Rhinolophus ferrumequinum: one gene and its partners. The protein of the gene in region 3 purifies or fractionates together with the protein of the main gene of each other region. This does not show direct contact. Links are inferred from orthologs where the notes say so. Each region holds a gene or a part of one and is shown on either strand. Other genes may lie near its edges.

The links.
Region 1: the proteins of U2AF2 (region 3) and HNRNPF fractionate together in Homo sapiens (co-fractionation; 3 studies listed by BioGRID, with this or other methods). This does not show direct contact. The link is inferred for Rhinolophus ferrumequinum from reciprocal best matches to the Homo sapiens genes U2AF2 and HNRNPF.
Region 2: the proteins of U2AF2 (region 3) and CPSF6 fractionate together in Homo sapiens (co-fractionation; 3 studies listed by BioGRID, with this or other methods). This does not show direct contact. The link is inferred for Rhinolophus ferrumequinum from reciprocal best matches to the Homo sapiens genes U2AF2 and CPSF6.
Region 4: the proteins of U2AF2 (region 3) and PRPF19 purify together in Homo sapiens (affinity purification with western blotting; 3 studies listed by BioGRID, with this or other methods). This does not show direct contact. The link is inferred for Rhinolophus ferrumequinum from reciprocal best matches to the Homo sapiens genes U2AF2 and PRPF19.

Annotation. Positions count from the first base shown.
Region 1 is NC_046299.1:66,653,787-66,660,898, reverse strand, and holds the start of HNRNPF (heterogeneous nuclear ribonucleoprotein F), read right to left. Parts: upstream 3,011-7,112; 5' UTR 2,953-3,010; intron 2,633-2,952; 5' UTR 2,567-2,632; intron 2,224-2,566; exon of another isoform or gene 2,085-2,223; intron 1-2,084.
Region 2 is NC_046293.1:65,272,690-65,279,867, reverse strand, and holds the start of CPSF6 (cleavage and polyadenylation specificity factor subunit 6), read right to left. Parts: upstream 3,002-7,178; 5' UTR 2,878-3,001; coding exon 2,818-2,877; intron 1-2,817. UniProt on the Homo sapiens protein: Component of the cleavage factor Im (CFIm) complex that functions as an activator of the pre-mRNA 3'-end cleavage and polyadenylation processing required for the maturation of pre-mRNA into functional mRNAs.
Region 3 is NC_046298.1:48,710,106-48,717,893, reverse strand, and holds the start of U2AF2 (splicing factor U2AF 65 kDa subunit), read right to left. Parts: upstream 3,005-7,788; 5' UTR 2,938-3,004; coding exon 2,889-2,937; intron 1-2,888. Other genes in the region: CCDC106 (coiled-coil domain-containing protein 106), read right to left, coding at 5,067-5,383, 6,011-6,223, 7,308-7,472, 7,570-7,677. UniProt on the Homo sapiens protein: Plays a role in pre-mRNA splicing and 3'-end processing. By recruiting PRPF19 and the PRP19C/Prp19 complex/NTC/Nineteen complex to the RNA polymerase II C-terminal domain (CTD), and thereby pre-mRNA, may couple transcription to splicing.
Region 4 is NC_046294.1:9,871,255-9,878,609, reverse strand, and holds the start of PRPF19 (pre-mRNA-processing factor 19), read right to left. Parts: upstream 3,009-7,355; 5' UTR 2,784-3,008; coding exon 2,765-2,783; intron 1,125-2,764; coding exon 975-1,124; intron 787-974; coding exon 710-786; intron 1-709. UniProt on the Homo sapiens protein: Ubiquitin-protein ligase which is a core component of several complexes mainly involved pre-mRNA splicing and DNA repair. Required for pre-mRNA splicing as component of the spliceosome.

The DNA of each region.
Region 1 (7,112 bases), on a different chromosome or scaffold from region 3:
AAAAAAAAGATAATTAAAAAATTTACACGATGAATGATATTTTGGATCTACATTAGGTTAAAGTAAATTATTAAAGTGAATTGCTTTTTTTTTTACTATTAGAAAATGTAAAATTAACTATGTGGCTTCTATTTTATTTCTATTGGACAGGACTGCTCTGGATTAAAACATAACTTAAAGAGATATAATCTACCAAATATTAAGGTGTGATCTTATTTGGATCCCAATTCAAACCAACCAGCTGTATAAAAATACTTATTAAACAATCAGGTATATTTAAACACTGGGTATTTGTTGATATCAAAGAATTATTATTTCTTTAGGTGTGATGATATTGTGATTATATTTTAAAGGTCCTTAGAAATATAAGCTGAAATATTTATGGATAAAAATCTTATGTCTGGAACGTGCTGTAAAACAAACCAGGCTGGTCATAGCTGAGCCTGGTTCTCCTTCTGCCCTGCCTTTTGTCTCGCACAAGAACCCTGTTTCGGGGCAACCAGGTTGGGGCAGGGGCCCTGGCAGGAGAGGACTGCTCCTGTCAAAAAGACCTGAGTCCTAGTCCCAGCTGTGTCACTGGTCAAGTGTCTTCTTGTCTCCCAGCCTCCATTTTCTCATCTGTAAAATGGGGGATAAAAGCAATACCCCCTTATAGCCTGGTTATGAGCATGTGATTAAGAAAATGTTGTAAAACACCTAACTCTGTGCCGAACCCAGTAAGGGTCAATTAATGTGGTTCTACAAAGAACCTGAGAGCTAGAGCTCACACTTCGGAGGGGAAGTTTCTGGGAAGTTACCTCCGTGAAAGAGGGAAACCCTCCCATTTCTGCCGTCTCTCCAGACACCTCTCCTGATGGGCACCGTGTGCCTCCACACGCTCCTTCAGTTTTGGCCCTTCTATACAAGGACTAACTGTCCTGTTGAATCACTCTTTGCCCTTAAATCGATTTACATTTTTACTTGAATATTTTGTTTAATGGGAGCTTTGTAACAATACTCAAGTGAAAACCAGTCACTTGGCAGTTTAAAAAGGTAATAAAAGCAAATACTACAAAAAGAATGTTACTAAAATAAAAAAAACTAAAAACAAAAAGACCACAACATGGAAATAACAAACCTACTCAATTTACAGAAATGCAGACAGGAACATGAGATCCCCAAGACAAAGAATGGACTCGTTTAACATCAGTTAACAAAACAATCTCGTCTAGAAATTAGCACTGAAAACATCACTTTTCACCGATAGATCCTAGTATGTTTTGTCTAACCAGAGAGCCCAAGGTATTTTCATTACTAGAAAGAAATTCAGAAAGATAGTAAACTTTTAAAAACGTGACTGAAATAGTGAAAATTACATTAAGATCGGTAGTATCGATGGCGTTGTGAATTAAAAGATAATTTCAGCATTCAAAACTCTCCCTGCTCCACCAGGTTTGGGACGCGCAAGGGCCGCCCCTAAGCTCAGGCGCCTCGGATCTCCTTCCTCTACCCTCCGCCGACCCGCGCGGTTCCCGGAAGCTGCCGCTGCCTCACGGTCCCCCTTCAGCGCGCAGCCGCTCGCGGGTTCCTCTCTCGTCACCCCCCCATCCCAGCCTGCAATGGCAGGGAGCCCCCGGCACCCCGCAAACAGATGTGAAAAATACTTAACCACGTTCTTTCGTCCTCGGGCCTCCAGGGTAAAGAAACTGCCGCGAAGGGACCCCGCGGGATCAACGGGACACAGGAAGGCAGTCTCCTAAGTGCCCTGGAAAGGGGGCTCTCCCCGGCTTGTGGCTTTCCAACCGTTTCTATTAAAGACCAGGGTAGGTAGGGTCCACGCGACTGGCGCGGCGTCACCCAGGCCGCCGGCGCCACCTTCAGTGAACCACACAAGACAGGGGAAGCAGAGGGCGCAGTGCAAGAGCCTACAGCGTCGATAACTTTCTTAGGCGCAGTCAAGAACCACCAAATATATTCAATGATACAAATAAGTAAAAGACAAGAAAAAAAGAAACGGCTAACTAATCAACCTCGTTCGGCAGAAGTGTGATCAACAGGCAAAGATAATAAGAACCCGAGTTTCAGCCAAAATGCAGACACAATACCTCTCACGGCAGGAGACAGACGCAGACAAGCGCTCAGAGCACACACGCCGCACCAAAAGGAAGAAAGGCCGCAAAGGCCGAGAGTGGAGGCCGGGCGAGCGGGAACGTGGGAGGGGGAGGAGTCAGTTCCCAACCAGTCCTGCGCAACTCCCCGGCGCTTCCAGCCACGTGGAGGGACTGCTTTCATTTTTAAACGAATTCCCTCTCCGACGGTCACCCGGTGCTCTCCCCTTATTCCTGGCAGAGGCGCTTGGGCTCCGCACGAGGCCCTCTTTCCCTTCCTCGCCGCGGGCCCGTCGTCTTCGGACCCCAAATCTCAGCCCTGAGATTTAGTCCCCGAATGTAAGGCCCTGGACCTCAAGCTCATCTGGGACAAACCCAATTCTCAGCCCTGCCGCCCCTACCTCGAGGGGGCCCAGTCCCCGATCAGTCCCAGGTGTGCGGCTATTGGCCTCGGAGATTCCGCCCGTCCCGCCCCTCACCTCGGGCTCCGAGTCTCCACGCTCCCGCTCTTCTTCACACCCGGCACCTTGGTCGTCGCTGAGCACCTAGAGGAGGGTAGAACGCGGGAGACTTGGCAGTTGTAACTGAAACAGTTGAGGCTTGTTTACCATCACCATGGATACCCCTGGCAGCGCGCCCTGGGCGGGGCCTGGGGGAGGAGGTCAGGCGCGCGGCGGGCTGGTGCCCACAACTCCCGCCCGCCATGCGCACGCGGCGTTTAGGGAAGCGCTGCTGCTCTCGGTGTGCCCGTCCCCGCTCGGCTCTGCGCCCCAGCGCCCGGGAGCAGCAGCCCCGGAAGCCCGCGCCCCAACCTCGCTTCTGGCTGCCCGCGCGACCGAGGGTCGGTTTCCCCACGGAACCCCACCTTTTCCAGGAGGACGAGACGCAGTCCTACTTCCACCACAGAACCGGAAGGACGCAAAGACCGTGGCGGGGCGTGGCCTTCGCGGCAGGCGTCCGGGGGCGGTGCTGCAAGGCCGCCATTGTGACGCGCTCTGTGCAGAGCCGGGGATTGGTCAGCCGGATGGGGGCGGGGCTGGAGCCTACGGAGGGGAGAGTGCATCGAGGGTAGCGGCTGGTCTCCGGCAATCCTGGCTCAGCTGACCAGTGCGTTTACCTATTGCTCTTTAAGTTACTGACTGGGGGAGGCCCCCAAACAGTGAGCCCAAAGATGCATGGGTTAAAGACCAGCATGAGAGAAGTAAATGAGAGTCGTTTCCTGCTGAGGAAGAAAGAGGAAGCTGAACCGCAGAGACGGATAAAGGAGGTTCCAAGGGCAGGCTTCAGGGAGGAATTAGGTTGACTGAGGTTGCTCATGTGACTATCACTTGGGCTAAGAAGTCCCACAGACTCTGAAGGTGACTCAAGACTCAGGGGGAATGCACGGTTTTCAGTTAGTATCTGAAACTACCCGCTGCCTGAAAATGGATGGCTACAGCCTGAGACAGTGGAGCAGATTTTCTTGATGTGTTCTAGAGTCAATAATTATTATCATTTTGTTTTTGGAAAGTCTTCATAAAGAAGAAAAAAATAGGAGCCGGCCTGGTGTCCAAAGTCAGGCTGTTGGAGCTCCGTGCTCCTAACTCCTAAGGCTGCCGGGTTTGATTCCCACATGGGCCAGTGGGCTCTCAACCACAAGGTTGCGGGTTCAACTCCTCCAGTCCTGCAAGGGATGGTGGTCTCTGCCCTCTACAACTAAGACTGAAAGGACAACAACTTGAAGCTGAACGGCACCCTCTACGACTACGATTGAAAGGACAACAACTTGGGAAAAAAAAAAAAAAGTCCTGGAAGTACACACTGTTCGCCAATAAAGTCCTGTTCCCCTTCCCCAATAAAATTTTAAAAAAAGGAAAAGAAAAGAAAAAAGAAGAAAAAAATAATCAAGCACTCATTACAAGTTAAGCAGAATATTATTTTAAAATCACCAGTTAAATTAAGGGAGTGCTTGAAATAGTGTAAGATTATGACTGGAAGATAGTAGAGGAAGGAGCACTGTTTCTCAAAAAATGTTTTTTCCAAGAAAGACAAAAGTGGGAAGAGTAAAAGCGGGAGCTGTCAGAGAGGTGAAAATTAATCAAAGGCAAAATTACAGAAAACGGGTCCTACTAAAATCAGGTAGGTATTTTTAAGAAACCCCACAATGACTCCATCACAGTTCATGCTGTAGAAAAGTCTGTTTCTGGAGAGAAAATGGAAGTAGTCAATCTGAGGCAAATATTAAAATTAAACCAAAAAATAGTACTGCTTCTAAGTTTAGGGACTATGAAACCATGTCCCGGAAGATATATTCATGTAGTCCATTAAGAGAGCCTTTGAGCCTAGTGGCTCTTTGATCCTTTCAAGTCTGAGAGTTCTCTATCATTCATCAATGATGCAATAATCTTTCTAGTCTTCTGAATGAAAGGCGAGGGCCTTGGACTGATTTTGAGCCTGTGTCTAGTCCTAGGAAGTCATCCCAGATGTGCACTATGATATGAGTAGTCACATATAAGCCCACTTCCACAGCAAGTGCAGGAATCGTTCACTGGTGTTACAGATCCCAGGACTTCTTCACAAATGTCTGGCTTATCTCACCAACTGGGGACCACTTCAGCTGTGGGGCCAGGGGTCCTCCACCCTTTCTTTTCATCTCTGTATCTACAGAAGTGTCTCATCTAAGCTCTGAAATCTCAGATTTTTTTTGATTCTTGAGAGTAACTGCACGGAGATGTACCCTTAAGGTACATGGTTTAAAAACAATTGAATTCACCACAAATGAAGATCACCCCAAGCTGTGTCCTTACAGACTTACCTGCCTTTTGTTTATGTAAATAGATTATCACAAATTTAATAACTTTCAATATTTTAAGTTTTAAAATAAGCTCCTCTCTGGAAACCATTAGTCCATAACAGATGATACAGAGGTTTGTATTGTCTAGAGTCTATTAAAATTTTCCAGTTGATAACCCTTGAAAGAACACTTTACGCATTAAGTTTGACCTCCTTCTCCAGGAGAGTACCAGTGGGTAGGCAGGATCACCGTAGCTCAGCAAAGGCTTTTAGACAAAAATCACAGTATCTGCCACACAGCAGTGATAGCAATAGCTAACATGTATTTCACCTTCAATGTGCTTTACACTATTCTGAATACTTAATCTCATTTAAACAGTGGTAGATGTTATTACAATCATCACACTAAGTGGAAGGAAACTGAGGTACAGAGTCATTAAGGTAACTTTCCTAAGATTGCTCAGCTTGTAGGTGACAGTCTGGGCATGAAGCTGAGACGTTCTGGTTCCGGAGTCTGCACTCAACTGCTGCACTATTTTTTTTCTTTTTTTAGTTTGTTTTTATTTTATTGGGAAACAATGTGTTTTTCCAGGATCCATTAGCTCCATGTCGAGTCGTTTTCAATCTAGTTGTGGAGGGCACAACTCACTGGCCCATGTGGGAATTGAACCGGCGACCTGGGTGTCATGAGCATGGCACTCTGACCAGCTGATCCAACTGGCCGCCCAACTGCTTCATTTCTGAGCTCAGGGAGAGGAGGTTTTTCAGGCCCCTCTTCTGCCTCCCTTTCCCATCTGAGAGAAGGAAAGAATGAAGTGAGAAAGCAAATTGAACTGTCCAGACACAGCATAGGTCCTGTCCAAATGTAATGTTTTTCCTTGAGGCCAGGTGCTCTATCTGGTAGGTAGAGATGAGAATAAGATAGCCCAGGTGGGATGCAGTCAAGTTCAGCAGTCACAGCCTTGTCTGGTTAATTTTCTTGATCAATATAGAAAATGAACCTATGAAGCAGTGCTAATACTTATTCAAGGAGTTCTGTGGGGAATATAATCAATAATGTTGTAAATATTTTGTAGGGTGTCAGATGGGCATTTGTCTTATTAGGGAGACCACTTCATGGACAGTGTAGATGCCTGACCACTGCAGTGTACACCTGAAGCTGAGGCTGAATGTCAACTATAATATGTATATAGTCACAGGATGTGGAGTACAGCATAGGGAATAGTCAATGGAATTGTAACAGCTATATACAATGTCAGAGGGGTAGTAGATTGGGGGAGGGGGTTATCACTGTGAGGGGTGTAAGTGTCTAACTATTACATTGTCTTGTACACCTGAAACTAATAAAAAAACAACAACATGTGAGTTCCCACCAGGGGAGGCTGACCTTTGTATTTACAGTTCTTTCAAACAGCACTTTGTGTTAGTGAAAGGAGTTATGGTACCCCCTTGCTTGATGGTTACTTGCTTGAATTGGTTTCTTTGCCTAGCAAAAGACTCCAGGTAGAGACTAAGCAGTGTTGGGTGGTTGCCCTTAACTTTAAGCATTTCTGCAGCAGGCCCGGCCTGCAACAAGCCCTAGCTTGGACATTAGTGAAGTGAGGTCTAGCTCTCTCCATACTGACTTGTCACCTTTTAGCCTGATAATGAGTTTTCCCAGCCCAGAATATGTACAGTTAGATGCCTTCACTTCTGTGGGGCCTCAGCAGAGTCAGAAAACTTCACTTGGATCAAGATGTGCTGTTATATGTCAATTCTAAAGGTGGAAGGGGGTAAGAAAGGTGCTGGGTACAAGGCAGCTTGCAGCTTCTCTTCTGCCTCTCTTGCAGTAACTTCATTAAAAATTATAAATAAAACACAGAAAGTTACAGATATTATACAGATTAAAATATACTGATATTTTGAAATATTGACTATTTCCTTCCATTGTTTTCAGACCAAAAATTACAGATAAACCTGTTCTCCGAGGTGCTTTTCAACTCTTTAAAAAGCAATATACGGTCAGTGGGGAATATTGAAGTTTTGGGATCAGAGAAGTAACAAAATGTGTGGCCCATTTACATAAATTTCTTTAAAGATTTTTTTCCTATCATATAGATTGTGTGGGTAAGTATATGCTATCTTGATCCATTTTTGAGGCCCTGGCTAGAAGCTGTCAGTTCCTCTTGAACAGCTGATTACGTCCACACCACCAAACCCTTCCCTTATCAGGCTCTCACATTCTAGGCCACCATACTCCTACTCTAAATGACC
Region 2 (7,178 bases), on a different chromosome or scaffold from region 3:
ATCTAGTTGTGGAGGGCACAGCTCACAGTGGCCCATGTGGGGATCGAACCGGCAACCTTGTTAAGAGCATGGCACTCTAACCAACTGAGCTATCCAGCTGTCTCCATTACACTTTATACTGTACTTTCCCAAAATACACACTCAAAAAACACCTTCATGAAAGTACGACCATTTAAAATAGAAGAAATGGGAAATACATACTCTACAGAGAATTTCAAAGTACGTATACAAATTCAATGAAAACTGCAGTTCACATTAAAGAACAAAAAAATTTTTTAAATGTTTACAGCAGTTTAGAAGCTAAAGTAAATCAAGACTGGTTATACTTAGTAAAACATTTTACTCAACTACAATAAAGTGAATGTTTACTATACACATACAAATAAGGTCATCAGCTAATAGAGTGCAAATTAATCAGTAATAATTTTGTAGTTGCCTCTAATTCTGATGAAAATTCAGAAAACTATTTGAATAATAGTAACATTTGAAAAAACAGGATGAACCTTGTTTTGGCCATATTTTGTACAGGAATTGCTACAGCAAGCAATAGAGTACAAAGGCCAATGACATGCAAAATAACAAAACAAAGCTTCCATTTAATCCCCCCATTAATCTATCCAAAAGTACAAATATTTTACTGGTAAAATTATACAACTATGTGTGAGATATAATGCTATTGGTACAAGTCAACAAAAAGTTATTTTATTTTTTTTATTGAAAATAAATTTTTTTTTCAAAGTTACATTTTAAAAAGAACCATATGAAGTAAATTCCTCACTAGGGCCACAAAATTCTAATCTCATCTTACCTCCTGCTCAGTCATAGAGATAAGCACTAGTTACAGCACAGAGATAAGCATGTATCATTTCATACAGCAATATGGAATAGAGAAAAGCCCACCCCCAATTTAGTTTATGAAAGCCTAAAATATATTTCATGGAGAGGTCCTAAAGAAAGCTCAACTTCTAAAATTGCACACCAATTTTTCCTTTATTGTGGGTAGAAAGGCAAAGCAAATGTATATTCCTGCAAGTAAATCTAATGAAAAGAGATTTGAACACTTAATTGTTCCTTTACTTGGTATGGAGGTATGGCCCTCTTTTGCATGAAATGTTATACTCATTTGATAAATAAAAATTCCTGAAAGTCTATGTCCGACTTAAAAGCATTAGAATCTGACTGTAGCACTCCAGAATTTTCTAATTTGTCACTGACACCATTAAGGCATCATATATTCAAAATATAAGCACAATAAAAACAAAAATTTTAAAGCTTAACCTTTGATTACACTGGGTTACATTTAAACATATTCAGTCTCTAACAGAGTAGGAAACATTTAAGCTAACTGAAAATTTGTTTCTAATATTTAAACCAGGGGCACAAAGTCATTCCCGAAAAAAAGAGCGGTAAGGATTACTAGCTTGCGCAATTAAAAAAAAAAAAACACATCCTGAGCCCCTAGTCACAAATAAGATCCTTAACGGAAAGGAAGAAACAAACAGATTAATCAGTAGAATTTGATTAAGTTTCTTATACGGACCTGGAAAATACAAAAAATAAAGCTTTCAGGTGCACTGCAGTTAGGCACAATTTGATTTTTAAAAATGTGTTACTACATAAAAGACAGTAAAGATGTGAACAGCAGGTTTAGAGCTTAAACGTCACTGCTCTAGTACGAGATCTTTTGCAAGGATGCCCAACATCAGACATCACAGCTCCGCGGCTTAGTTCTAGGCCAACGGTGGCCTGTGAGATACCGGAAAAACATTGCATTCTCACTTTCTGCACCCTTTCAAAATGTAAAGCAGATCCCTTGGAGGGTATCTAACATTTTGCTTTTGAAAATCGGGTCACATCTACATCCCTTTATTTTTAAACTATAGCGTAAGCATTTCAGGTGGGCATTCTTTATTTTAACCACTCCACTGATCTCTTGGTGAGCTACCATCTTTCCTGTTCCATCCAACCATCGCGCTTCTAAGTCTTCCTTTTGCCCAGACCACCTATCTTCACAGGTATTTTCATCAGAAAGGCCAAGAACGACTGGGCCTCAAAGGCACTGCCAGCCCTCTACCATCGAGGCAGGACCCAGCGCACCGACTTTTAAAGGATCTACATGGGTCCAAAAGTCAAAGGACTTGTTGCAAACGCGCCCACATCCAAGCCGCCGTCTGAAAGTGTGAGGAGAGGAGGAGAAAGGCGGCACGCCGAAACCTGTCGCAAACGCGAGCAGGAGGGCCCAGGAAACCCGGCGCGCGGGATACAAAGGGCGGTGAATGCGGCCTTCCATGAGGCGACCGTGCGCGGACACGGAGACAAAATGGAGCGACGACAGGAATCGGAGCCCGAGCGGCAGGCAAGGCCGGGGAAGAGGCGGGGGCCGGCGCGCGCCCCGCCGGGCTCGCTCCTCGACCTGGCGGCAAGGGAGGGGGCGCGGTAGCGACCCGTGCTGAACCCCCGCCACACACACGCGGCCCCACTGCCCGGGCCTAGTGCGGCGGGAAGCGCCCGCCCGCCCGCCGCCGCTAACAATGGGAGGCGAGGTAGCGGCGAGGGAGGGGCCGACGGCGGCTGCACAGCGGCCCGCGTCCGCGCTCTGGGCCCCCGCGGCTGGCCGCACCGCCCTCGGTCTGCGAAACGTCGCGGTAGAACGAGGGGCGAGAGGGACGCCGCGCCGGAGCCGGGCGGCACGGCCCACGGGCGGCAAGGGCGCACGGGCTGCAGCCGCGCCGGCTCGCAGCCCACGACTGGCCCGGCTCAGCGTCCGGGCCGCAACCCTGCCCGCTTCGGCGGCGTAGGCCTGGGGCCCTCACGTACCTGGTTGAACTCTTCACCCACATCCGCGTAAATGTCTATGTGGTCCACACCGTCCGCCATTTTTCCTCGGCCTCGGCCGCTGCCGCCGCCGCCGCCTCCTGCAGGTCCGCCCGCCGCGGCAGCAGCAGCGGATCTGGCGGCGGGGGCGGGGCGCGCTGCGTCACTTCCGAGGCCTGGGGGATTGAGGCGGGGGCGGAGGGGGGCTGCCTGGGGCAGCGGTCTCCCGTGCAACCTCGCCAGGCGGCGGGCCCAGAAGAAAAACTGCGTCCCTGAGGGTAGAGGCAGTTTCTTTTGTGTGTCTGGGTTAGGCCTGCAGGCGAGAGCGGGGCCGCGGGGGGGGGGGGCGGCGGGGGGGGGGCGGCGGGGGGACGTCCCAGTTTCCAGAGACTGTTTCCACGTTGCCCCAGGCACACGCAAGCGTGTGGTAATATTTTCTCTTCCCACTGTTTCTCACAGCTCGGGCTTCTAGAAAGGTGGGAGTTACATGTCCACGATTAAATACGAAGTGTAAATTCGCATTCTACGAGCGCCTTGAGAGCGAGAACAAGGTCTTTACCCCTGCATCCCTACTCAGAGACCAGCAGAGTTTCATTTGCCTCGTAAATGCCAGAAAACCCGTTGATGGTTAGCTTGAGTTATTTGCATGCGACTTATGTTATTTGCGTGCTGTTTATGTTTCCGGCTCTGTCTTAGGTCATCTTCTTTCATCTCCTCTTCCCCAATTCATTGTTCTTCATTTTTTCCTTCTTAGATCTGACGTTCGTTTTCTTTGGAATAATTCAGATACCTCTAATTTAAATGCAGTCAGCTTAGAGCCCACCCAACAAGGGGCAGGCTCCTTGAGGCAAGAGGTTTCTCTCTTACAATCACAAAATATCCCAGTGAGAAGGGAACCAAGGTGTTACTAGGTCTAAACATCCCATTTTACAGAAGAGGGAAAAAAGGCCTTAATAAAATCAAAGTGATTTAACCATTTTCAGTAAAGAAAAAACTCTTGCCACCCATACTTCAAAGATATCGTTCCAGTTTGAAACCTGACCCCCCCCCCATTTTAATTTCTTTTTCATTCATTTAAAAACCCACCAAATTAGAGTCTGTTTCCCAAGATATGAACTGGCCAGAAATCATTCATACAATGATGAACCAAGCAATATCTGTACTTGGTATGGAGGAAAAAGCGTGGAGTCATAGACGTCAATCTGGTGATCTGGATACAAATTTCTAGTCAGACTCTTTGCAAGCTGGGTGAACCTCCGTCAAGTTACCTAATTTCTCTCATGTTCAACCTTAGAATCCTTAAAATAGGGGTAATAATATTTGTTTAGTCAAGGTTGAAGGTTGATGGTGGTTTTAAATGAGGTAGTATGCAAAATGCCCTGTCTTCTTTTGCTTCTTGGAAATACTGTACTAATTTCCTTTTTTCCATGGGGCTTCGTAGAACAGCCACTCATGATAAAAGATGGGGACAGTTTTGAGATAATGTGGTGGGCACAATAATGGCCCATCATCGATGGCCACATCCCAATCCCCAGAACCTGTGAATATGTTACCTTACATTGCAAAAGGGACTTTGGGATATGATTAAGGATCTTGAGATGAGATTATCCTTGTTTTCCTGGTGGGCCCAAAGTAATCACAATTATCCTTATAAGTGAAAGAAAACAAGAGAGTCAGAGAAGATGTGATGATAGAAGCAGTTTATGTTCTTTCAGTGTACTTAAAACTGATTTCCAGATTCCGACTTCTGTTGTTACCTGTGAAAAGTCAGCTGTCAGTGTAGCTGTTTCTTGGAAGGTTATCAGGGGGGTTTTATCCCCTCTGGCTGCTTTTTGAGATTTTTTTTCTCTCAGGCTTTGGTGTTCTGCTCTTTCATTATATATGTTTGGAAGTGTATGTCTCTTTATTTATAATGCTTGGGATTTACTGGGCCTCCTGAATACATTGATTGATGCCTTTCATGAGTTCTGAAAAATTCTCAGTCATTACTTTTTCAGATATTGCTTCTGCCCCAATCTCTCTTCTTTCCTCTATGCCTCCAATTAAATGTTATATCTTTTCTGTTTACTATTTACTATTTCTCTTACCTTCTCTTTTTTATTTTTTTATCCTTTTATCTCCGTATGCTTCATTTTGAATAGATTTTTTTTTTCTATTTTCTATATTATTAATTTTCTCTCCTATGGTGTTAGCATCTAATTCTTTGCCAAAATTGTCAATCTTGGCTTTTATCTCTTTGAATGTAGCAGGTATCATTGGTATACGATCTGGGTCACTGATAATTCCAGTATCTGGAGTCTCATTGGGTCTGTTGTTGGTTCTTTGTTCTAGTTATTTGTTGTATAGTGTTCATGCTGGTTCTCACTCGTGTTGTCTTTTTACCTGACTATATTTGTGTGCTTGACATTTTAATTGAAACCCTTGAAGATACAATGTGAGACTTCTGATGGTTTTGTGTTTTTTTTTAAATAAAGGATTTTCATTTTCTTCTGGCAGGTACCTTGGGGCACCAACACATCCAGATGATTGGGAACCTTGAGGAAACTAATTTAGTTTGGCTTGCCTTTACCTCCCAGGTGCTGTCCTTTTGAGGACCAGCCCAAAACCTGATTTACCAGAGTCACCACTCTTGGCAGGTCCTAGACTCTATACTTTGTTCCCCTAGATGTCAAAAGTGCAGCTCCACCTCTCAACCATATCGTTTGAATAATCTAAAAATGTCTCCCAGGGCAAAAGCACTCTGAATGCATAGACCCAATCCTCTTCTGCTTCTTGACCAGGTGATTCCTCACTCGCTCCCTGGTTACCTTTTTGATAATTTTAAAATATTGTTTCAGGTGTTAAAAAGAAACAACAGACCCCAAATGGAGTCACTTGTAGTAAGCCCTACCATGCCTTAATAATACCTAACTTCATTGCAGTTTCAGCCTCTCTCAGGAGTGAAATTTTAAACCAATCAGTCTGGAATTTCCTGGTTACCACTAGTTTGGTAATCTATCTGATAAGACCCCCTGCCTTCTGCTAAGAAGAGGTGCCCTTAATAGTTCACTCTTAATGTTTTCTCCCCCACTCATTTCTACATATAAAAGCCATCCATTTTATACAGCTCCTGGAGCACCTTTCTTTTTTCTAGATGGGATGCTGAGGAATTCATAAGTCATTCAGTAAAGCCAAGTAGGTCTCTAAACTTACTCAGCTGAATTTTTCGTTCTTTAGCACAGGGTACCTCCTTACTTGACGATGTTTTAAAAATGAAATATCATTATAGATGACCAAAAATGCATAATAATAACAACAAAACACTCCACCACTTATTGACTACCTTCCATGCACCAACGTCTTCGTTAGACATCTTATCATTATTAATGTACGCAGATGAAAGATTGGAGACTTGAGTTCTTGTCCTGGCTTTACTACTGACTAGCCAAGTAACCTAAGAGTAGTCCTTTCCCTCAAGTCGTCCATGAAGGTCCCTCTCAGTTCTGAAATTCTATTATTCAAACCTACATAGAATTGAAAGTCCAAAGTGCCTTGGGAGGAATTCGACAATGGTATGTTAACTGTTGCAGCAGAACTTCCTTCTAGCCCACCTGCATTAGTTTCCTATTGCTGCTGTAATGAATTTAGTGGCTTGAAACCACACAAATTTATTATAGTTGTGGAGGTCAGAAGTCCAAAATGTATCTCACTGGACTAACATCAAGGAGTTCGCAGGGCTGCGTTCTTTCTGGAGACTCTAAAGGAGAGTCCATTTTCTTGTCTTTCTCACATTCTTTGGCTCTGGACCCCTTCCCACAATGACATCACTAAACGGTATAAACGATAATAAAATCAAAATATTTAAGAAGAGTAGTCGAGAGGTTAGAAAAGAAGTAAATAATGTCCTAAGGTTATCTCTATATCTGCTTCTGGCCTTCTAAGCTTCTCTGTACATCTACTTCTCTGTATAGAGGAACTCGCCTTTCCTTGCACGTGGCTATGCGACAATGGCAACATCAACTTCAGAGTTCAGATCTCCACCATTGAAGAAAATGGCCATCTGTCTTGGTTGCAATTGCAAAAATCTAAGGAGTAAGCAACTGATCAGTTCAGTTTTTATAGGAATCTACTCCTAGTCCAGTGAAGTTTGTCGAAGGGGATAGGGGTCACAGACTAAGAACATGGCTTAAGAATTCTACTCTGTGAGTTAGGAAAGGGTGGAGAATTGTCCATGAAAGAAGGTTGCTTTGAGCTAAGCAGACATCCCAAAGGTTGTCTAACACATTTCACCTATGGTATGACAACATGTAGACAAAGGCCTGATGATTGGGGAAAATCCATAATCCATAAATAGTTCACACATGCTATCAATCTCACTTCAAATA
Region 3 (7,788 bases):
TCATCCACACTGCTGTCTTATATTTTTCTGATATGATTTAACAGGAACTTTTTGTAAATGTACCTCAATTCCAGAATCCCTGAAACTCAAAAAAAACATGCACCTAAGTAGGTAAGAGACACAGCAGCAAAGAATGGCATGCTTTCTAAAACTAGAACCTATGTTAAATGTTTTACTTGCACTTAATCTCTACTAATGCTTTGGGAATACCCTGCTGGGGGCTCATGTAACAGACAGGGAAACTGTGGCACTGGACAGTCACATGACTGGCGCAAAGGCTAAAAAGCAAGGAAGTAGTGAGCCTGAACGTGAGCTTTGTCACGTCAGCAAGTTCGGTAAAGCACCAGGCACACTCCTGAACTCAGGCAGAACACTCCGGGGTCTGGCTGGAACCACTAGTGACAATGGGATTATCTCCTTGAAGGCAAAAACATAAGTAAATCAAAGACTGGAAACATGAGCGGACACTCAGAGAGCCACGGGTAAGCACACAGGAGGCTCTGGGCCTCTGGCTCCATGTTTACAAGGTGGGCGAGCTACAAGCCCCAAGAGCCCTTCCTGCTGCTAAGGCTCCGAAACAGACAAGCAGGCAGAAAAGAACCGACACAGAGGAAGCAGTGATGCCTGCTGGGTGCTGGGATGCAGACCAGGAAATTAATTCCCTGGAGACACAGGTGCACTAGGCAGGGGCTAAAGTAGGGAGGAGGCTGGCTCAGAGACAAAGACCTACAGGCGGGACAACACGTGGGCAGCGCTTCCCCCTAAGGCAGGAGTCCTCCTCTCCCCCCACACACACTGATCCCGGACAGATAGGAACAGAAAGGAAGCTCTGATTGTTCAAAATACTGTTGCCACCTTTTGGGAACAGCTACCAACCCAGGGGACTTGTGAGGGCTGAGGGCATGGCCGCCCAGTACCAGGAGGGCCAAGCACTCAGGCAGCAAGCACATCTGCAAGGGCCTCAAGGAAGGGCTCAACCATCTCCACCTGGCGGTCCAGCCATGCACCCAGCCAGAACTCAGGGTCAGTTGCAGCTTTTCCACTTACCAACTATATAAAACCACGCAAGAACAACTAAACCTTTAAAACTTGGTTTTTTCTTCTTTAAACTAGGGTCCCTCTACCTCCTCCCCCCAGGTGTATGAGGATTTGAGGTTTGGAATGCACCTTCCCCAACTCTGACATCACCTCTGAGGGAGCTGATGACCTGCCTCTACTTCCTCTCTGTGAGTTTATCACACTAAGGATGATTTCACAATATAAAACACTGCTTGTTGGGCACTTAATGTATGCCAAGCCACATACCACACACTTCACGATTTCCCATTTAATTTCAGGTCTGCCTCTGACCAGACCTGGGAAAATTTTCAGACTTTTTGAATCTGTTTCCTCCTCTGCAAAAACAAGAAAATCATTTCAGCCTCACTGGGCTGTTACAAGGCTCCACTTAGAAAAACCATGCAAAGAGCTTAGCAAGGTGCCTAGCACGTGACAGGCGCTCAGAGTTTAACTGTTATCATCCTTATTTCAAAAATCGTGAAAACCATATTAATCAACAGACGACAACAAACAGGCACAAAGGAATTAAAGTAGCACACCTAAGCAACAAAGTAGCTTTCAACTCAGGTACGACCAACTTCCAAGCTTGTGCTGTTAAGCAGTACGAGTGAAGACAGACATGCGGAGGGCACTCAAAAACCGGGACTTCTTCCCCAGGCACTGTCTCCTAACGCAGCTACCCGTTACTCAACTCTAGGCTGGGTTCAAGGGAAAGTCCTGCCCCTCTCATTCGGCCAGCCAAACACGGGCATCTTAAGCCTCAAGTCCCTCCACCTTCCCTCAGCCTAAGTTTCTTCACTCTCAAAGCAAAACAGGAAGGTCAAGGAGTTTTTAAACGTCTAACGACTCTCCCAGTTCCAATATTCTTGGAGTCCCTCAACTGACCGGCACCCGCGTGGTCCCGTGCTTTGACTGGGCATCACCTACAAGTACTTGCCGCCCACCCTTTCCTACGGTACTCAACTGGCCCAGGTCCCCTTACTCTCAAGAGCCTCCGTTTCCCCATCTCTACGTTGAGATGATTTATGAGCTTCAGTCTAGATGCCCCGAGTTTGGGATAGAAGACGTGGTGTTTGTCTCTAGCTGGGGATACTGGGAACAAACATTCCACATTGTGATCGTCGCCACTGCCAAAGCCCGCGTGTACGCAAAACGTACGTGCGGGAGAAATACTTCAAGAATGCACAGGGTGGAAAATAAAACACAGGGTGCCCCTTTCACGAGGGAACCCGCGTCACACGCGGTGACCCGAGGCCCCCCACGACCAGCAGCCAGGGCGGGAACCCTGACGAGCGAGTCCGCAGGACACCGCGCAAAGAGCAGCCGTCGGAGAATGGCCGGCCCAAGCCGCCGCCTTGCCCGAGCCCACGTGAACGGTGGGGGGGAGGGGGGCGCTCACAACCGCCATTTTGGAACAAAGGGGGCGTGGAGACCCAGGCCACAGGCCCGGCCGGAACCGGAAGTGCCAAGGAAGCGGGAGTAAAGGGGGGAATCGCGGGACCCGATATATACACTCTCTTCCTCAGATTAGCAATAACAGGAGTCCGCAAGGGGACACCCGGGGCCCTCCCATCCGCGCCACCTGCGCCGGGAACCACGTGGGGCGCGGAACGGAACGTGACGCGCATGCGTGTGGGCCCGCGCTCGCCACCCCCTCCCGCGCGCGGAGGCACGCCGGGCGGTCACGTGAGCGAGTGCGCGCCGCGGGACGGAGGGGGGGGTGCCGCGCGGCCCTGAGAGGACGGGGAAGCGACGAGGAAAATGGCGGGGGACACGGAGGGAAGCCAAGAGCCGCCCCGCCCGCCGCCCCACGCCCCCGGCGCCCTCACCTTGCTTATTTTCGTTGAGCTGCCGCTCGAACTCGTCGAAGTCCGACATGCTGAAGCGGCCGTGTAGGCCCTGTACAGCTCTCGCCTCGCCTTGCCGCCCGCCCGCTCCAGCCGCTTCGGCTACTTCCGCCGCTCGCTTCGGCTACTTCCGGGCGCCCCCAGCGCGCCGCCGCCTCCTCCTGCCTAATCAAGCCCAGGCCGCCCGCCCAGCCCCGGCTCCACCCCTCTCCCGGCCGGCCCGCCCGCCCGCCCGCAAAGCGCCCCTCCCCCAGAGCTTGTTTCCGAAGCGCGTCGGCTATTTCCGGACTGTAGAGGCAGGAGTCGGGTGCGGTGTCTTCGGCAGCTTCCGAAAACACCCGAAGCGAAGGTTTCGCGGAGTTCCCAGGTTGTAAACTCTTCGGAAATTGTCTCTTCAACGTTCGGGTGTTTCCGTAGGTTCTCGCCTTCCTCTGCACCCAACCACCCTCTGCCCGCCAAAGGTTCGGCTTCTTCCGACAATTCAAAACGTCCCAGTCTTTCACTGCTTCCGCAGGGGCTCCCCGCTCTTATCCGCCGGCCCTATCTGAGCAACCCACTACTTCTGACAAGCTTAATCGTCCTAGTCTTCGGCACTTCCCGAAGGTTTCCAGCGCTCGCCCTCAGGCCCCGCAGAGATTATGCTAGATTCCAAGTTTCGGCTCTTTCCGGAGATTCCGTTGGCTCACTCCTCCCCACTGGCACAGCTTCGGCTCCTTCCGCCACCGCTTCGGAAAGGCCCCACTCACCGAGACAGCTTCGGCCTTTTCCGTCTGTTCTTCGGCTCCTTCCGGCTTGGGGAACAGAAAAGGGAGGGAGGACGAAGACGAGGTGGGTCAAGGGAAGGGATACGGGGAAGGGGCGGGGTCCCGGCTCCGGACTCCTGGCTCTCCGGGTGGGGAGAGTGGAGAAAAAGAAGGGCCGATCTCGTGGATGGCCTAAGAAGGTTGCGCGAGACAAAAGCAGCCAGCGGGGTGAACGGTGCGCGCAGCCGCTGCGGAGGTTGGTAGCGCGGCTTTGTGCGCCTGCGCAGGATGGAAGAGGAGGGGCGCGAGATGGCCTTCTGCACCTGCGTAGACGTTGGTCTGAGGCGCGGTTTCTCACTCCGCGAGGAACGGGTTCCAGAGCCTCCAGCACGCGTGCGCGAGACTTTCCCTTCTTCCAGGGAAGAAGCTGAATTCCCGACTGTTAAGCTGGGCCGCCTGGTCCTGGTTGCTGTAGCAACCGCGTAAGTGCGGCCGCCGGCAAAGTCGAGGACGCTTCCAGGAGACTGAATGTCCCACTACCGCCTCCTAGCGGGCGGTCGGAAGCCTCCTCCCAGAGGAGCTCCTCCCACCCTCCCACGCCACGGTGGCCGCCTGTGCTGGAGGTCATTGAGTACTGCCTCCTGCCGCCGCGCCTCTAGTCCAAACAGCCCAATGGGTAGTGTTCACTCCTCTTTTCCAGAGCTCTGCCCCTCCGTGTTCCCGGAACACAGCTGCTACTCCCCCTCCCACCAATGCCTACGGGGGTGCTAATTACACCCTGTCTCCCCAACCTCCCCGGTTTTCCTCCCGACCGCCTGCTTCCTGGAAGCCCCAGGGCTTCTGTCACTGTCTCCAGGGCAACGGCCACCCCCTCCCAGAAAGAGGCCGGGACCTAGTTTATTCCAAATTTTATCGTCTTTTTAATTTAAATTCTCTGAATAATAATCTGCTTCACGTTGACTGGGGGGTCCGGAATTAGGGTCCTCGGGGCTGGGGGCGGAGAACGGGTATGTACAGGGCCCCCGCCCCGTAGAATCCGGCAGTTTCCCCAGGAGGAAGGACCCAGTGAGGGCAGGAAGGGTGCCAGTGTTTAGGAAAGGGCAGAACCCAGCTCCTGGGCAGTGAGTAGCTCTTGGGAGCCTGGCTAAGTGAGGACCCCCAACGCTGGGAATGCAGAGGGAGGGGATGATGCTGGGAATGTGGGAGGCAAGGAGGACAGGTCTGTATAGAAGGGACCAGGAGTGGGAGTGGGGGTCTGCAGGAGGGAGAGGAGAGAGGCACACGCGGGAACACACCATCCACCCCCAGGCCCTAGCGAGGGCACACCACTCATGCACACACTCGCCCACGTTCCAGGTAAGGTGGAGGGGAAGGGAAGTGGGAGTCGGAGGGCAGGTCCCGGGCCAGGTGGGCGGGATCACCGCTTGAAACGGTAGGTGATGGGAAGCAGCAGCTTGCTCTTCTTGAGGGCCTGCACCTTCTTGAGGGTCTCGTCATCCAAGGCCAGGAAGCAGCGGCGCGAGTACTCCAGCAAACGCTCCTTGGAGGGGTCGAACTCACCCACCTCCGCCAGCTTCTCAGGGGCAACAATGAGCAACTCTGCGATAGGCGTGGTCAGCGCCACCGTGTTGCGGTCCACACGGTGGTGCTCAAAGGCCCGTGACATGCTCTTCAGCTTCTGGAAGGTGCCCAGGATCTTCTTGTAGCGGCAGAGGACACCGTCTGCGTCCTTCACTGCAGGGCCAAGGAGGGGTGATAGAGATACGGTAGAGAGAGACAGACATGGGAAGATACAGACGTGATGAAGAAATGGAGATAGAGGAGGTTGGAGGGGGTGGAGATAGACATGAGATGACAGATCCACAGGGGGAATTCAAATGTGGAGGAAGTGGGACAGAAATGGGAGGGCAGATGTGAGGACAAGAGAGATGCGGTGAGGGGCTCACACAGAGCAAAGGGACAGACAGGGACGATGTGGCCAAGGAGCCCAATACAGGAAGAGCAGGAGAACAAAACGGGAAACGGGAGGAAAATGCGGTGAAGAGATGTGAGAAATGGAGACAGGATTTAGGGGAGAGGAAAATTGAAGGAAGGCCGGGAGGAGAGGATGAGGAGGAAAATACAAACAGGAGAGCAGGTCAGAGGTTTGAGTTGCCAGCCACCTGAGCCATCGCCCTTCCCCTTGTTACTGATGTTCGGGAAGGTCTAGAGAGGGTGGACCAAAATGTACAGTATGAACCAGGACCACACATGAAGGCTGGAACCCACCAGCAGGTCTGGTCTGTTACAAATAGGGAAGGGAGGTGACACAGCAAGTCTCAGCCCAGAGCTCTCACACTGCACCCCGCGCCCCCAGCTCACCCCGCTGCCTCTCCCGAGCTTTGGGCTTCCCAAAGCGCCTCCGGCTAGGGCCTCCCTTCTGCCTCTGCCTCTTCCTGTCGACGTTACTGCCTTCTTCAGATACTCCGCTGATCGTGGAGGCTGCCGACTCAGGGTCTGAGGCCTCGCCCCCAGCCCCACCCCGGCTGTCGCCCTCAACCCGCCGGGGCCCAGGCTTCACCCGGCAGTGGTCCTCTGGAGAGAGGTGGGAGAGACATAACAAACACACATTGACTGCAGGAACAGGAGGGAGGAGGAAGTAAGAGGTGTGTCTGCAAGGTGGGGATGGAGGTCACATCGCACAGGTCCCCAGGAAGGGAGGCCTCCCAAGAAAACCGGTAGATAGGAAATTAGGTCCCTGCAAGAGATAGCTGAATATAGGACAGTAAGCTGGGATTTGGGGGTGGATATTGTGGGTTGTGGCTTGGGTGAGGATGCTCAGCGGACTCCTAAACTTGGTGGCAAGAGGTCTGGAGGACGAACCAAATGGACCAAGAGCAGACCGGGGACCTCAGGAGAATCTATGACTATGTGGGGTTCCCACAGTGGAGGACCTCCAGAAGAGTGGACTCAGGACACCCTAGGGGCAGGAAAGGCCTGGGGTGGAGGATTGAGAGCCTGAGAGAAATCTTAGGCTCTGTGTCTAGTAGGCTGGGAATGGCAGGTGCCTGCCTCCACCTAGAAGAGGGAGCGCTGAAGCTCTATGCAGGACCCCCAGAAGGTGGGCTGGGGGAGGTCCAGTGTTGAGAAAGTACAGAGGCCACTGGGCCTGACCATCCTGGGTAGGTTCCGATCATTGTGGGGAGACAACACTATGTCCCAGCAACCCAAGCTAGAGATGGTTCCAGAGCACAGGGGTCGCCAATAACATCAATATTGAAAGGAAAAAAAGAAAAACAGGCTCCTCGTCCTGGCTTTCAGTGGAATTCACAGAGAAGGATGTGGAAGCTTGCAAGGGAGCCAGTCAGGGGCTGTGCACCAAGAGAGGGAGTGTAGAGGCGAGATTCTCCAAAACATGGCTAAAGATTTGGCAAAGGAAAGCCCTCTCTGCAGGAGGGATGGGTCACAGGGTCCTGCCGACCAACAGAAGCAGGAATGAAGCTGGACTTGGGGTTCCAGAGACACCACGGGGTTAAAGGACACCATGGGGATGCCAGGTCCCCATTGAGCCACCAAAGAATGTGTGGGTGAAAAGGGTCCTGTGTCCCCAAAAAGAGCCAGAGCTAGGTGTCAGGGCCCAGGAGTCGGTTGAGGGGACAGCCTCATGGGGTGACCTCACCTGCATCCATCCGCGCAGAGGAGATGAACTTGTCCAGCTGACACCGCAAAAAGTCCCTCTCCTCCTCCAGGTCCTCGATGCGCTTCTGCAGCCATGAGTTCCGTTCCAGGGCCATGTGCAGCTGCGCCCTGACGCTGTTCATCAGGGATGCAGCCTCCGGAGGCTCTAGTGACAGTGGGGGACCCTGGTCACACCCCAGGCCTCAAGGGCCCTGCACCCCAGCTGACTCGCGTCCTTCCCACTCCCCCCACCCCCAGCTCACCCTCAAAGTTTCCCCGAGAGGGGCTCAGACTGTAAAAGAGCTGTGGGTCTAGGTGGGGCGACTCGTCGAAGGGGATGGAGATCTCAAAGGCCTCATCGTCCTTCTTCACTGGAGAGGAGAAGCCTGGGGTCAGCCCAGGGAAGTCCCCGGGCCCCTCAGACCAGCCCCCAACCACAGCAGCCCTGGGAAGGAGAGGGCAGAAGTGGGCAGAGTGGCTGT
Region 4 (7,355 bases), on a different chromosome or scaffold from region 3:
GCACCCAGCAGAAGCGTCAGCCCTCGAGAAGAGGACACTGCCGCCAATGCTCACGGCCTAGAACAGTATCAGTGACCCCAGCACCATCTGAGTGGCCCAGAACCAGAGAGTGAGCGACTCCTGAGCTCCTAGCCCCTGCCCCAACACTGGGCACACGGACAGGAGTGGGAGCCAGCTCTTCCCCACCCCCAGCTCCACTAATTTACTGGCAAATCTCAGATGTCATGCCATCACCTCACCAAAAGGGAATAAAAACGCTGCTGCTATTTACTGACTGCCCTCACTGTGTCAGGCACTGCGCCAGGCAGTCCCTCAAGATATATTCATTCATTCCTATTTTAGAGCACCTACTGTGTGCCAGGTGTTGCTGTCGGTGCTGGGGATATACCAATGAATTAAACAAGTCCCTCATGTCATGCAACTTCTAATCTAATTTTATTCTAATTCTCCCAAAACCCCGAGAGACAGACACTAATCTGTGTTGTACAGTCAGGAAAACCAGGACTCGAATACGAGTGATTTGTCCAAGGGCACGCGGAGCTCAGTGTAGAACTCAGATCTGTGTGACTTCAACAACCAGTCTCCTACTCTGTGAGCATCCTGCCCCACAAAAGAGAAAATAATGCTCCATCCTTCCCACCCCCAAGTCCTAGTCCAGTGATCACTCTCTTCAAGTGGGGAGGATATTAGTTCTCTTCCAGAAACTCACCCACTCATCCTGTAAGGCCTTCAGAATGGCCGGGATGCTGGTGGCTGAAGGAGGCTTGGGCCGGATTGGGTGAGCAACTGCCGAGAGAGGAAAAGCAGGTATGAAGAACCAAAACCCAGGGGACCCTTGCTTTTCCTCTCCGCCACTCTTCTCCCTTTAGTCTGCATTGCCAGGGCACTAGCCCCTCCTCCCATGAGCTGGCACCACCTCCCCCGTCTCAGGCTCGGAGCTAAGATGACCCTGGACTGAGGCAGCCCCTAGGCACCTTTGATGTCGATGAGCTGCTCCTCAGACAGAGGCTGGTTGTTGATGGGGTCTGTGCCATTCTCTGCAATATACTTCTCAATGAGCCGCCGCTCGTAGACATGATTAGACACCGGGGACACACATGGGTGCTCTGGCACTTCATTGGAGACTGTGGAGAAAAGGCAGGCCGTGAGCTCAGGGGGTGAAAGGGAACTTGGGCCAAGGGGATGCCTCACCTGCTGCCGGCCCCAACAAGACCCCGGGTTCCCACACTGAACTAACAGGAATTAAGACATGACACCAAGCCAGTTTTGTACTGTCCCCAGCATGCTTTCCAGCTACCTATCTAGCTTCTCCTACACTCAACAAATAATTATTGCACAACTACTATGTGCCAGGCCCCTGGAGAGCAGTCAATCAGCGCTGCCCGTCTCATTTCTGAACAAAGATGCTTTGGAGACACACATTAAGCCACTCAAATCTCAGTCTAGAGCCTAGATAGACTGTCAGACTATGAAATGATAAAGCAATGTGACAAGTGCTATATGATACATTTCATTGTTTGCCATGCACGACTGTAAACACTCTCCATTGATTTCTCATCCTCACAGTCACCCCCAACAGAGGTATCATTTACACGCCTGCCTCAGTGGTCTGTGCAGCCCTCCAGGAGGAGACTGCAGCTGTCTCTGGCTTCCAGTACGATGCAGATCCCCAGCAGGCACTCGGTAAACACCTACCAGATGAGTGAATGAGAGGAAGGATGGTGCTGGATGGAAAAGAGCTTCCTCAAGACTGAAAGGAAACAGTGAATGTGAAAACACTCCACAAACTGTGATTTCTTCAATGTGAAGGGTTCCTTTTCCTAGCTGTCAGGGCCCTTCCTTCTCCCCCCATCCCCCTTTTTTTTCTTTTTGATTTATGGAGAGGCTCTGAGAGTAAAGGGCTTGAGAATTAGGAAGCAAATAGAGAAAGGGATGATGAAACAACAAGGATGGAAAACATCTGCAAGCCACGATAAAATACCAAAAGGAAAGATGATACAAGCATGAAAAAAAGGCATGGATTCCGGGTCAGAGAACCTGGCTCCATCACCCTGCTCGGCCACTTACTAGCTGTGCAGCTTTCGACAAGCCACACTCTCCCGGAGCCTAACATCCTCGTCTGAGAAAGCGGACCTTTATTTCAGCTTTGGAGAATTGGCGTGAGGATAAAATGAGCTCACAGGCTTGGAAGTGCGCTGTACACCAATAAAGGCGTTACAAATGTTCGCCTCCGAGGCTGAAAGCTAGAGACCTGGCTTCCAGCCCTGTCACTACCTCTAATTCACTGTGCCCTTCACAAGTTGCAGAAGCTCTGCCTACCCGAGCGGGACCCCCTACAAAACCCAGTACAATGCCCTCATTTTGCAGATGGGAAACTGAGGCCCAGGGCCCTGCACCAGATCGCAAAGCCAATCGGAGGCGGACCCTGCAGAAGCCCTCGGGTATCCTGATTCCTACACCAGAGCTGGTTCCCCTGCACCAGCTCCCTGTGTCCAGGCCTCAGTTTCCACTGCGTAAACGAGGTGGTTAAGCTCAGCAATGCCTGCGACAATAAACCTGAGGCGTTACGTAAACTGTGAAGCGCTGCGCAAATGCACCCCACGCTAAGGAGGAGGACCACCTCCGAGCTGACAGGCCGCTGCCCTGTCTCCCAGGAGCCCCGTTTTCACCTCCGCCCCTGCCCCGGCGCCTGAGAAGCCCGCAGATCCTCCCGCTCGGCTCTCCGGCCTCCTGTGACCCGCGATCGGCCGCAGCCAATACTCACTGGAGCAGATCAGGGACATGGCGCCGTCGCTGCGCTCCGAGGCGCCACACACCGGGCTCCGGGATTAGCTTCTGACCTGCCGCGGGCCACTTCCGGTTCCCCGCTGCTTCCGGGAAGCCCCGCGGCGAGCGGGGAGCTGCCCCAGTCGAGCGATGTTCCCTTAGCCCTTCACGTGGGACTGCGGCGGCTCGCGCGCCTCAGCCTCCTGCCCCTAACGGAAACTGCCCTTTCCCAGAATGCAGCCGGGCAGGAAAGGGCCCGCCACGGGACACTCGACTATTTCCGGAACGGCTCGGCTCCTTCCGTTAAGCGCCGCCGAGTGCGGGAGAAGGGAGGGGCCGCGGGAGGAGATCTGAAACTACATTTCCCATAATGCAGTGAGAATTTAGAGACTCTGCTAGGAGACCCGGTGAAGAAAGCGCCAACGCAGACGGGTTGAGAAACTAACACCGACCAAGAAACCGTTCTAGGCCTGTCCCTATTACCAATTTGCTCCGCGATCTCCCCTTTCCTACATGACTTCCACCTCCCTTCCAACTCAGATGGTGTAGGGTTCTTTGTGGATATCTATAAGGTACTCCCAGAAATCATGTACAGAACGTGGTGCGGACTATAAGGGATCCAGACCAACCAGCAGGACATCCAGGTATGGTCGGTGAAGTCTTCTTTGCTGAAGAGGTGTGAATGAGCTAGACTTTAACAGACGGGCAATATTCAGATAGAAGGGAAGAATCCTAAAAGGAGGAACAGCACAAGCAAAGGCTTGGAGAGAAGAATAAAAGTTGCAGGTGTGAAGGGTATTATGGCTTAGTGGCCAAGAGCATGGACTCTGACGTCAGATTGCGTGCTCTAATCCCAGCTCCACCCAGCTAGTAATGGGTGTGAACTTCTCTGCCTTAATTTCCTCATCTGTAAAATAGGGCAGTGATAACAAGTGTTGAACTAACAACCCATAGGGTTATTGCTAGGAGTTGATATTTAAAAAGTGCTTTGAACGAAGCCTGGCACATAGTAAGTAAAATATAAATATTCATGTTTGTTATCATTATCCCGAAAGCCAAGCCAAACTACTGTCATCTCTCCCCTGCATCAATAAAATAGCATCCTAATTGGTCTTGTTTTCAACCTGGCCTCCTCCTACTCCATTTTCCACGGAACAGCCAGTGATCTACTTTCAATGAAAAATCTGTTCCCACTACTCTCCAGGCTTTGCATTCATTCAACAAATATTGACTGGGTAACTCCTAGCTGATAACTGGAGATACAAATGGTGAATAAGAAAGACAAGGTTTCTTTGGAGCTTACACTTTATTGCGGGGAAGGGGGGAGCCATAGACATATAGACAATCAACACATAAAAAAAAAAAAAATTCCAAAGAGTGGTAAGTGCTAAGAATAAAACAAATCAGAGTAAAGTAGATAGGAGCTGCTGTGGATGGGAGGAATAGGCTACTTTTAAGCAGGGTATTCAGGGAGGGCATCTCTGAGGAGGTGACATTTTTGTTGAGACCCGAATGAGGAACAGTGTTTCTGGCAGAGGAAACTTGCCCCCAAGTCCTGCACCATTTAGCTCATGCCGACCACCATAGTCTCACCCCATCTTCTCTCCAGCCACACTGGTCTTTCAAGTCCTCAAACTTACTCTGGCTGGTTCCAGTATTTTCACCTGGAACACTTTCCTCAACTTCCTCCCTTCTCCTCCTCTCCCATCCCCTCCAAAATAAACTTCAACCTCACCTTAAGTGGTGTTTCCTCTGGAGCCTTTTTCTTGACCTCTCACTGAAGTTCAGTGCCCACAGTAGTCTGTAATATTCCTCTGAGCCACTTTGGATAACTATAATCAATTATTCACAAGGATCTGTTTGATGTCTGGGTTCTCCGCTAGACCATAAACTCCTTGATGGCAGGAACCATAGTTGTGCTCTCTGGTCACTGTTGTTTCTCAGAGTGTAACACAATGCCTGACAGATAGCAGAAACTTCATAACTGTTGTTGGTTGAATGACAGATTGCCTGACAGACCAGGCATCTTAAGTTCTTGGCTGTGGTAGGAAATAAAATGGATCTGTTTAGGTGGGGTCTTGAGCTAGAGGTGGTTAGACTTGATTGGGCTGGCAGAAGAACAGCCACTGAGCTATGGAATGATAACCACACTTCCAGAAGATTCCTCTGGAAGATATTACTGGATGGGTTGGAAGGGGACAGACTGGAAGGCAAGAGACCCAGTAATTCATTTTTTTGACAGATCTTAATGGAGGACCCACTGTATGCTAGTCCAGGCACTGAACTAGGCATTGGGGCTCCCACTATGAGCAAACCCAGAGGTATCCCTATATTGGGGAGCTTATGGCTGTGACAGAAGGATGGAGGAAAAGGGGAGTCCTTTCCAGCCTTTTGTGTTTCAAAAGCCAGCCCCTCAGGCGATAGAAAGGATTCAGGGCAACTGATTTTGGAGTAAATATTACAGGTAAGAACTTGATCTCAGATTCCTCCCTACTTCCCCCAATCTCAACCTTCCCACAGAGGAGATAAAAATTCCCTAGGCTAGGAAGGGAGACACAGGAAGAAAGGTATATATGCGTAGTTATTGATGGATCCCCAAGAAAGGGACTCTATGCCCTGCTTCCCAGGGCCAAGGCTGCTTGGAAAGCAAGAGAACACATTGGCCAATAACTCCAAAGAAGCTGCATTTCGTAGGTAGATTCTGTGGCAAACTGTGTGGACAAGTGACAGAGGAAAGAGTGAAGATCAGGGATATATAAAACTGAGGCATTTTAACCAAGCTGCTAAAATTATTAACATGAAGGTTGAGGCATGAGGAAAGACTCCATTCTTGTTCTAATTAGCAGGGGAACTTAAACTTTTTGAAATTTCCAGTCCTGCATCAATGCCTGGATATGCATCCAGACATATACCAGACCTCCAGATAATTTTGGTTACCTCTTGAAGGACTCACGTATCCAGACTACTGACAAGACCAGACCTCCTGGTGCCCATCTCCTGGACCACCTGGCATCCATCATCCAGACTGCCTGACTGATAACCACCTGGGACCAATCCTAGGGCTAAGAATGCAGGACTGATAATTCTCAAAAATGTTCGTTTAACTATATGAACTCTTAACTTTTCTTTCTTCTTTGGGACACACCTGGGTTTGTTTGTTTTTGTTTGTTTGTTTTTTGCCTAGCTGCGTTTCCAATTTGCAAACTCTAAAGCCCTTGAATTAATTTTTATAATTTACTTCTAGCAAAGTCTCCAGACTCTTTTCGAATTCATCTGACATGACAGAGGCTTGGGCAGGACAATGCAGCTCAAACAACAGACACTGAGGATTAGATGAATCCCCCCACCCACCCCACCCCCTCCCGCCACCACCCCCATGTTAATTTTCCAAAAGGTCTGTATAACCTGAAAAATCAAGGGTGGGAAGAACCCTGAACTGTCTGAGATTGTTTCCACCACTCATATAGAAAGAGTTGAAAAGAAATTAGCTAGTCATAGTGGGGGAAAGCTACATTTCTTGCACGGGAAAGTCTGTGACCTGAGATTGGTGGTAGTCCTACAAATCAGAAACAATCTCAAAAGCAAATGTAAAGTTCCAACTATTTCCAGGATGCTACCAGAGACGGCTGGGGAAGACAGAGAGACCCTTAGCAGAGGCAGGAAGTGATGAGTATCCAGACAGAGGAAGATGGATGAGAGATGTACTGTGAAACGTCTGAAGAAAAGAAACAACTGGGATTGATGACTGACTGGTTGCTACTGAGTGCGTGATCTGGGAAGAAGGCAGACTTAGAAGGCTGATTCAGGTAGAGGAGGGAAAAAGAGTTCCATTTTAGAGTGTTGAGTTTCAGGAACTGCTTTAACATCGGAGGGGAGCTTTCCAATGGCAGCCAATGTGATCACAACATTTGGACAGCAGCTTGGATGTTTTTTTTAAAATCTTCATTCTGTTACTTCAGTGAATCTCCACACCTACTGTGAAATGGTATTTTTAGGACCTTATAGTACTTTATAGTAATGCGGAAACGAATGAGGCTCAGAGACATGAAGCAACGTGCCTGGAATCACAAAGCCAGCAAGGGATCACCTCCTTTCAAATCCTTGGTCGCTCCTCCTCGCCATGCCGCCTTTTTTTTTTTTTTTTTTTTTTTTTGGTAGAGCTCAGGTCTGGGAGTTTGTTCCTTTCCTTGCATAAAATTAAATGAACATTTTGGGAGCCATCTCCAGAGTCCGGGTGTGAAATTGCTCTCAGAAGGTGCAGGTGCATTTCCCCACCATTGGGTGCCTCTAACTGCACGTCAAACACCTTTTCCCTTTGTGCCTTTTTAGCGCGCGAAAAGTTTCTCAAAAGACTAGGGGCTCTCGGGCGCCCCTTCCTTAGAACAATGCCTACGAGGCATCACGGGACTCGAGAACTACATTGCCCGAAATGCCCAGAGGCTGGAGAGGCTTCGACCCCAAATTCAAAGACCCAGTTTACCCACTCTACAGCCCAGATATAGTCACTTAGTTCCCCTTTCCCGCCAGAGACTTCCATCCCCTGCTCGAACTCCCGATCCCACTCGTCACCGTGTCGGAAAGAAAAAAAC